2 linked regions of the Daphnia pulex genome follow. The protein of the gene in region 1 purifies or fractionates together with the protein of each later gene. This does not show direct contact. Links are inferred from orthologs where the notes say so. Each region holds a gene or a part of one and is shown on either strand. Other genes may lie near its edges.

Region 1 (4,083 bases):
AGCTTGATAATTCAAACAGCATTTCGTCAAAGGCGTCTTGGAGTGGACGGCCGATACTGAGCTGGATAATACCAACATCCAGCAAACGTAACCAAAGTAAAATGTTTCCAAAATAGATTTGAAATTCCGCATTATGAACTTCCCTGTTTTGCATGACATGGAATGAAGCATGTTGAATAATTGTTAAATGTCATAATTTAAACTAGGAAATATTGGACAACACCTACCATTTATGATTTCAGCCTTAGGAAAGGAGGGATTTTTATTTTTCCCCGAACGATTTGGATAACTTGACGTGATTCACTAGTCGACAGTTTTGAGCGTCGCAACTCACTGCCGTGTCACTTTCGACAAACGGTAATTTGGTGCATACGAGTGAATTATCCTTTTCAAGAAACCGCAACCTCCGTCGTTCCGTTTTGTTTCGACACACACTCGGAAGTGACCCACTCCAATTTCGTTATCCTCTATACATCATAAGCCACAATCCCCTAAAAGGTTAGCAACATTTGATTACACGTTACCTCATTTATCACTCGCTAGGAAAACGTCAACTTTTGTAACGAGCGTTCATAAATGAGTGTATTAGGAATACGTCACGGACTGCACAGGGGGTTGACCGACCACTTTAAAGTAATCGAAACGATAAAGTGACGCTTTGGGGTCGAAACGTAATTAGAATCCCTATCGGGACTTTTTTAAAAATTTGTTAATAATATTTTTTGTTTCTGCAAAAATATTTAAAAAAGTATTCCGTTTGTTTCTTATAAAAAAGAAATTTAACATTTTAACCTGAGAATAACGGAAATTTTACTTTTGTAGCAAATTTGTATAGTTTCAAAGTTTTTTGTAAACCAAATGTATTCTTTGTCTCAACGTATTTAATGCGATTTAATATATTATCAGACGGAAAACACAGTGTTATTTTCCAACAAGCAGTTGCAACCACATCCTGTAGGGCATTCGTCTTCTTCAGTGAACCAATGCGACATGCATCTACCATGACCACCGTGTCCGCACACCAGACAAAAACTCGCAGAGCCTGAAAATAAATGATTCAACCATTATGCCACCTCTAACGCTATTACATGACTGATATTTACTAGATGGTTTTAAGATAGTTACCTTTTACAACAACTCGACAAATAACGCAATTGAGAAGCAAACGCTTGCAAAGGGTGCATTGCGGCCCTCTAACCGTAGTCCTACAAGGAACACACTCAGTTACGAAATCCACGCCTCTATGAGGATCAATGGGAGTGGATAAATATTTCAAAACCTTGAATAGACAAAATTGGTTTTCAAGAAGTACGGCCAAGAAGTTATTATTTTTAATCCGCATACCAAAACGCGAGCCTCGAGAAGTCCCCAGCGATAAAGGATATCAGCATAACATCGACGGTAGTTGTCAAATAATCCATTAAATTTCGGATCTAGTAATCTTGAAATCAAATTGAGAAAAGAAAACGCTTAGTTACGAAATTCAACAACAATAAAAACTCTTGATGTGAATGCGATCAAAATTTCAAAATTATTAAAAATTTCAAACCTGAAATCCTTGTCTTTATACTCTTCACTTCCATCAGTCCCATTCACTGAAACGACGCTCGTCACAGAGTGGGGTAGGAAAATGGAAGCGACTGAAATAAAAACCCATTCAGACAAAATTGATAACATTTCTAAAAATTTAAGGAGAAGCCCTTACTTGGCAAAGGGCGACCACTTGGGACAGAGTTAATTCCAGGAGTTGCAAGACGAAAATCATCAAGTGAATCCGACCACGAATTTGAACGTATTTGTTTTAAGACATTCCAGCTATCTAAAGTTGTGTCGCCCGGGTGTATTGTATGATACGGTGATTCTCCTGGCTAATGTTGAACATCAGAATAATTAAAGTTCACTCATCATAAGAGCTTAAAAGAGAAAAAAGCGAGGAAAAATAGGAAAACTCATATTCTCCACTATTGTGATTAGATATTTTTCATGTAAAAAAACCATCACACTTACGTGGGGGTAAAATCTAGAGGAATATATGCCTACCTTTAAACCCCACCGTAAGTTGCGCTGTAGGAAAAAAAACTCATTGATATCCCGCAGTCAGCATTCTCAAAATCCCAGCAGCACCAAGGAAATAAGCCACAGTGTTAGAGAGAGCATGTTGAGACAAAGAAGTAGCGATATTATGGAGCAAGATAATTTAGTTAAAAAAAAAAAAAAAAAAAAAAAAAACCAAAAACAAAAGGACAGACCACAAAGAATTTGAAATGCAATTATTCCCCTGAAAAAGGAAGGCGAAACCAGATTGCAATCAGGAAACGGAAGCCGAGCACGAAGAAATTAGAATAAAAAAAGATTTTATGATCAGAACACTCGAGAGAAAAGCCAATCCGACGATCACCTTTTTAACAATCAAACGTAAGACCTTGCTTATCGGTTCTAGTGCTATTAATCGTGATACCAAGTTTCAGAATGCCAGATTTCATGTTAAAAAATTAAAATAAGCTTCTACACTTACGCTGCCCGATTCCGATCGTGTTGTTTTACGCCGGAAAGTTTCCTGACTATCACATTTGTAACCAAATGCGCAACACAACATGGCTACAGTTTGTATATCTCGTAATTTCACGTAGTGGTCGATACTGTAATAAATTATAATGTTGGTGTGTTGTTTTAAGTATACGCTAAAGAGATCAAATAAATACACATATACATACATCGCATGAAGAAGCTTCCGGCCGAATGGATTTTGAGCCCATGGGGTATCAAGGTCATTGGTATTATTTTCGTGTATCAAGGTAGGAGTTGCCAGAAGGGCACCCAACGACCAAATGTAAGTCAAATCTTTTCTGCCAAACTGCGCAGCAACCGCTGCATTTTGGTTGCACATCCATGCCGTATCAGTATCGCTAAATCTGGTGAATAAAAATATGTAATGAAACTATGACTAAATCTGATTCAAGGAATTATTATACAAGAAAATATATAAAAGATAAACTAACACATATCTTTCTGCTAATTCTAACTGCTGTGGCATCAATCCAGAAGCATCGTAAATCGTCACCATTCCGACCACCTTATGATGACGTGCCTCTTGAGCTCCCCTTTTATTTTCGTCTGAAGACGAGCTATAAGAGGAAAGTCTATTTTTCGACTTAGAAGTTCGAGATTTCTGTCTCTGAATGAATTACAAAATATTTTGTTATTTAATCAGCAATGGAATTATCTCATTAATAAAAGGCTAATGTCAGCAATCACGGAAATACTTCCAAGTATAGCCTACCCTGTCTTGGTTATAAAAAGACGAGATGCTGACTGACGGATCACCGGTCGGACTTTGAGCAACGGGCGGATACAACAATCCATAAGGAGTCGTATTTGATGAAGCTACCAAGCTATGCTGTACCAAGTTTGATGAATAAGCTTGGTTCACGGATAGAGAACGAGGTGTAGTTGAAGTGTCCGAAGTTTTACTGTTCACACGCCTTCAATTATATAAATAAAATAGAACTGATGAATTCCTAGTCGTACGATTAATCATTTCAATTAATCAAAAACCTTAAATAGGATGGTCGACCAAAACAAATCAGCATACCTGTATAAAATAAAACAAGGGCAAATCAATATAGCAGTTTGCTGAAGGATATTTTTATGTTTTTTGTTTTAATGACATTACCAGCACTGCAAAATCGAGCACCGGATGACCGAGGGTATGGAATATTGTGGTCTTGATGATGAGTTAGACTACCAAATAAACCGCCATTCTGTAGGAAACCAGGATGCCCAAGACCAGTTTGCGGTAACCTAGAAAACAGATTCGTTAATTATGTTTAGTAGCATATTGAATATACGTTTCATCTAAGTAACTAAATACGAATTAAATGTTACCTGAAAGGAGTATTTCCGGTAGTTGATGAGTTGACATTCAATGTTATGGTCTTTGACGATTCCGTTTCTGACTTATCAATTGGTGTTAACTGATCGACTGAAATTAGAAGTTGTTGTAGCACGAGCTCTATAGACGGATGACCTTTGCGGCACGATAGAGTTGCTGCTTGTTTCAAAACCTGTACAATGCCGCCGTGT
Region 2 (4,598 bases), on another chromosome or scaffold:
TGCCACCAGGACACCACCTCCTGAAAACTTAGTATTAGACTATTTATTTCAAATTCAAAGTTTTAACCTACAAACCTTCATCAAAGTCAGTACACAAGGAATGTTCTCTGTGTTTAGTCTCTTGGTATTCATGATCTATTTTAATGCCATTAAAATGATTCATGAGAAATTGTTGATTGGTGGAAAAATGAGAAATTGATGATTGGTGGAAATATTGACAAATTCCCCCCAAAAAACCTAAACCCCGTGAAAAAAACACCCTATCGGGAAATAAATATTTAATTTCGGTGATATTTTAATTAGAAATTGACGTAGGTGTTCGTTAGTTGTCGCCGCCTAGCGGTGATTGTTGGTTTACCACTCTATGATTCTCTGGTTTTGTTTTGGTTTGGTTTGATTAGGTGCGTCTGCTATCTGTGATTCTCTGGTGATTCTCTGGATTCTGTTTGTTTCTAAAAACCATAGTTTACAATTCTTAGCGCTAGGTGGAGACAACCAACGAACACCTCTCCCGTCCCCTCAAAATTTAACCGCAAATATCTTTTAATTTAATATCTTCACAAGAAAGGTGCTTTGGAGACTTAGAATAGCTTTTTTAATCTCTATCGATTGACCCTTCTTAAAAAAATATGATTAAAAATACACCCGACAAGCTATAACACGGCGGGATAGGACGTGAGTCCCGTCCTCTAGCTTTAGTAGTCCATGGTGGATACAACAGGCCTTAACCATAGAGTAGGCCATGGGGTAACTAGGCTACTACTACTATAAAAATGTTGGCTGTTAGATCTTTCAATAGACTTATTTATTTCAAAAGGACACAAATTGGAATCCAAAATGAACAACTGAGGTATGAATTTTGAAATATTAACTTGTGCATCTGTGTGAGTGTGACCTTATTATGGAAAATGAGTATGTGACAAATAAATAATGATGGTATATTTTTTTCTAGGACTGTTATGCAATCTTGTTGCAGTAGATCCACTAAGCAACCAGAAAATCCTGATATGCCTTTGTCATTTTCCAACTCAAACGCTGCCAAATGGTCAGCACAACAATCATTTAGTGGTGGAGGAAATACTGGTGAATCTCCATGGTATGAGCCATTTGTGATTTCAGCTAGTGTTACTGCCATACTAGTGTGGTTTTGTGTCCTGAGAGAAGAAAATGATGTTGATGATAAACTTGGAAAAAGTTTATATGACAGAGTTGATGGTTTGGAGAAGAAACAATTGGAATTGGCTTTGAAGCACAATATCCAAGGAGTGGATACAGTAGCCATTAAGAAGAGACTAGATGAATTGTCAACAAATAGTTGAATTTCCTATCTGTAAACATAATTTAATTGAAGTTGAAATACATTAAGTAAAAACCAGTTTATTGTTTGGTAAATTTTTTGCGATTCTCCTTTTCAAATCATTTGTTTGCTATTTATTTTTTTTACGTTGAATCTGTGAAGAAACCGTAGATGGCACTGTTTTGTTTTTGATTTTTAAGAATGCAGACGAAAATTGAAGCAAATCTCAAAAATTGACAGTTTGCGTCTTGCGTGGTGTTTCTGCCTCTAAACGCCTGAAGTTAGCGAGAAAATTCATAGAAAAAGAAGCATGGATGTCAATCCGTTGGCGGTAATTTTGGGTAAATATATTATTTACAGATAAAGCTTATTTCAAAAGAAAATATTTAATGGGAACAAACGTGGCTTTAGTCGAAAACGGTAGCAAAGGTGATCGTTTGTTGTTTCGCTATCCTTATGATACTCAAGCTACACCAAACTTTGCAAAACGTACACGCGCAAGTAAGTTCCTTACGAAACTCCATAACTTCCAGCGCAAGTCTCCAAGTTTTTTCTCTGTTGTATTGTATAGAGCAACTGCAAACTCCATACCCCCAGATCAGTGCTGAAGATATGCAAAAAACAAGTGCAGCATATTCCAGTACAATTAGTGGTAGTGTTCACAGCTTTCCAAGCAAAGTATGTTAATATACTCTCTTAATATAATCTGTTTTGAAACATTGAAGGTTATTAAAACATTTTTTCAACTATTTAGGTATTATCCAATTTGTTTGCTGTGAAATCAGAATTGTGTGGAAAAAAATTTGAAATAAAAATAAATGACATTCGGTTTGTCGGTCATCCACTTCTTGTTTACCACCAGGGTGAAGGCAAATCTGCTGGCTCTAGCCAGGAATCAATTTTGTCTTTCAATGTAGTTTTTGCCTTAAAGGTAAAGAGATTCCATTTTAAACTTGCATGATTTTCATCAATATTTTTTACACTTCTAAGGCATCTGCAAGTCATGCAGTAGTTGACTGTTATCATGAAGTAAGCAAGAGAATAGCAGCTGCACTTTGGCATGAAGAGCGTAGAGTGGCATATTTGAGTGAAGAAGCCAAGGTCATGACATCCACTCAAGATGACATTTCTTCGGAATTGCCCGATGATCCACTAGATGTGCCGTACCATTTAATTTTACAACGAAGTCAGCTTGCGCGCGACTTGCGTCGTGTCTACGAAGATTTACAAATTTCTGGGAAGATACATTTGCGCATCAATCGATGGATTCTGATCAGCTGCTGTTTACCTCAAAAAATCTACCACCTTCTTGACCCTGGACTTGTTATTGAACCAGCAGACATTCATGCTTGCATGGAAGCATTGAGACCATACCACGCCATTTTGCTGCTTGGGGACAAAGAAAAAATCATCAATAATCTACCTCTTGATTCGTCCCCCGCTTTGAAACGACTCATAAATCTTGCGAATCCCCTAAAAAGTTTACAAACTTTAGCAGCCGATGCTGACTTGACGCTATCACACGTCTTTCAATTAGTGGGTCACATGCTATACTTTGGACACGCAACCATTATATATCCTCTTTGTGATAGCAATGTTTACGTCCTTGCAGGCAGTGCCAACACTTCCCCACAATCCAAACTTGCTGATGTCTTCTCCGAAATGTTCAATAGTGCTTGTTTAATTCAGATTATGTCCGAATTTTCCGTTCCTGTATCATTGAGCCAGAGAAGGAATCCACTCGCCACTCCAGAGCAAGAATCAGAGGAAATTAAAATTATTATTTGGATGCTGCAACATCATTTGCTCATACAATTGCACACATATGTACATATTGTCGTTGATGACATGCATCCGAGATCATTTAACAAGGGTTCATTTCGTAGTGCCAAAACGGTAAGTTTTTGTGTTTAAAGTATAACGATTACTGTAGTTAAATCAGACAGTATTGTTTGAATTATCCCCTAGACGCGTGTAACGTTTGCAAGTCGCCAGTCCACTCCAGATGAATTGAATGCTGGATCCAGCCTTACACGAATGCCCAGCGATAGCGACATGGCCTCTGTTATTAGTGACGAGGCTTTGTCCAGTCCACCTTCACATAAGAGCATCAGTAGTAAAGCTCCGTGGTCAATCGAAAATATTCTTTCGGCCTCTCTGAGTAATGCTGAAAGAGAGGCTGTCCTTCAAGTTGATGCCGCTGCCAACTCAGAAGACTTGGAACTTTTTGCTCGGTAAGCTAAACTATTATTTAAAAACATCTTTTCATGAATAATCTAATAGAAGAAAACACAGGCTTTGCAAATATTTCCGCGGGAAACACCATCTAGAGGAAATCATGTACTTGGAAAATGTTCGAAGATCGGACCTACTTCACCTTATTGACAAATTTCGAACTATTCTCATTACATTCGAACATGAAGATTCAGCTTGCTCCGTTTTCTACAAGAATTCTACAACTTAAATATCATATTTTTCAGTGGAAATCAAAATTGGTGAATGTTATATGGAAGTCGTTTTCACTTGATTTAAGTTAAAAGCGGTATGTGAACATTGGCGTTAACACTAGCTCGCATCAAAAACCCTCCCTATTGGTCTCCTACGAAGCCGACTGTTGCCGTAGCTCAATACCTGTGTCTACATCGCAGCTTGCGAGGTAATCTTACGTCAGGAAGTCGGTTGGGGGCTAGTGACAGATAGGCCAATGTCGCATTCCTGTTCAACCTTTGTAAACTTTAAATTTTATCTCAGGACAGTATATGTTTTATTTGCTATTAAAATATGAATTTTCCTAAATATTTTACAAAATCCTTAGAATCAAATTTGGCAGAAAGTGAGATTGCTAATTGTTTGGTAAAGCAAGAATAAATATATCTACTTTTACATATGTTAGCTCTACTTTACAATTGTGCATGGTAATATTCACCTTTATGAGGAAGCAAAATAGATGGCAATGAATGAAGTGATGATGACGTACAGTGGTGAAATATTACAAGCTAAAACCTGTTTAAAGAATCTTTTTTCGGGAAAAGCTCAAAGAGGTAGAAAGATAAATAAAGAGATCGGCTGAACGACTGCTATTATTCGCAACGTTCTGCTTCGCGGAGCTGATTTCCTTTGTATGCCATTGATCTCGGATGGCGGAGCATCTTAGGTCGAAGGTTATCTACATCATCTTCCTCCAACTCTTTTCGGGCTTGGATAAACTTGGTTTTGAGAGACATAACATCATCGCCAAACTCAGTCAGTACAGTAGACATCTTCGAAACATAGGCTGCAATCAATTAAGAAGTTGCATGTG

The links. Proteins that work in one complex are often made in the same cells at the same time.
Region 2: the proteins of GATOR complex protein WDR59-like (region 1) and GATOR complex protein NPRL3-like purify together in Homo sapiens (affinity purification with western blotting; 3 studies listed by BioGRID and IntAct, with this or other methods). This does not show direct contact. The link is inferred for Daphnia pulex from reciprocal best matches to the Homo sapiens genes WDR59 and NPRL3.

The regions. Positions count from the first base shown.
Region 1 is NC_060019.1:12,027,541-12,031,623, forward strand, and holds the end of GATOR complex protein WDR59-like, read right to left. Parts: intron 4,065-4,083; coding exon 3,886-4,064; intron 3,802-3,885; coding exon 3,674-3,801; intron 3,593-3,673; coding exon 3,556-3,592; intron 3,483-3,555; coding exon 3,281-3,482; intron 3,176-3,280; coding exon 3,000-3,175; intron 2,913-2,999; coding exon 2,715-2,912; intron 2,640-2,714; coding exon 2,516-2,639; intron 2,106-2,515; coding exon of another isoform or gene 2,065-2,105; coding exon 2,041-2,064; intron 1,869-2,040; coding exon 1,706-1,868; intron 1,641-1,705; coding exon 1,550-1,640; intron 1,442-1,549; coding exon 1,345-1,441; intron 1,280-1,344; coding exon 1,126-1,279; intron 1,043-1,125; coding exon 903-1,042; 3' UTR 881-902; downstream 1-880. Other genes in the region: G-protein coupled receptor Mth2-like, read right to left, coding at 1-132. UniProt on the Homo sapiens protein: As a component of the GATOR2 complex, functions as an activator of the amino acid-sensing branch of the mTORC1 signaling pathway. The GATOR2 complex indirectly activates mTORC1 through the inhibition of the GATOR1 subcomplex.
Region 2 is NC_060022.1:6,641,197-6,645,794, forward strand, and holds GATOR complex protein NPRL3-like, read left to right. Parts: upstream 1-1,497; 5' UTR 1,498-1,607; coding exon 1,608-1,638; intron 1,639-1,708; coding exon 1,709-1,798; intron 1,799-1,868; coding exon 1,869-1,975; intron 1,976-2,051; coding exon 2,052-2,228; intron 2,229-2,287; coding exon 2,288-3,193; intron 3,194-3,265; coding exon 3,266-3,531; intron 3,532-3,592; coding exon 3,593-3,761; 3' UTR 3,762-4,184; downstream 4,185-4,598. Other genes in the region: eukaryotic translation initiation factor 3 subunit D-like, read right to left, coding at 1-20, 76-163; uncharacterized protein LOC124195566, read left to right, coding at 774-850, 953-1,319; kinesin-like protein KIF2A, read right to left, coding at 4,378-4,571. UniProt on the Homo sapiens protein: As a component of the GATOR1 complex functions as an inhibitor of the amino acid-sensing branch of the mTORC1 pathway.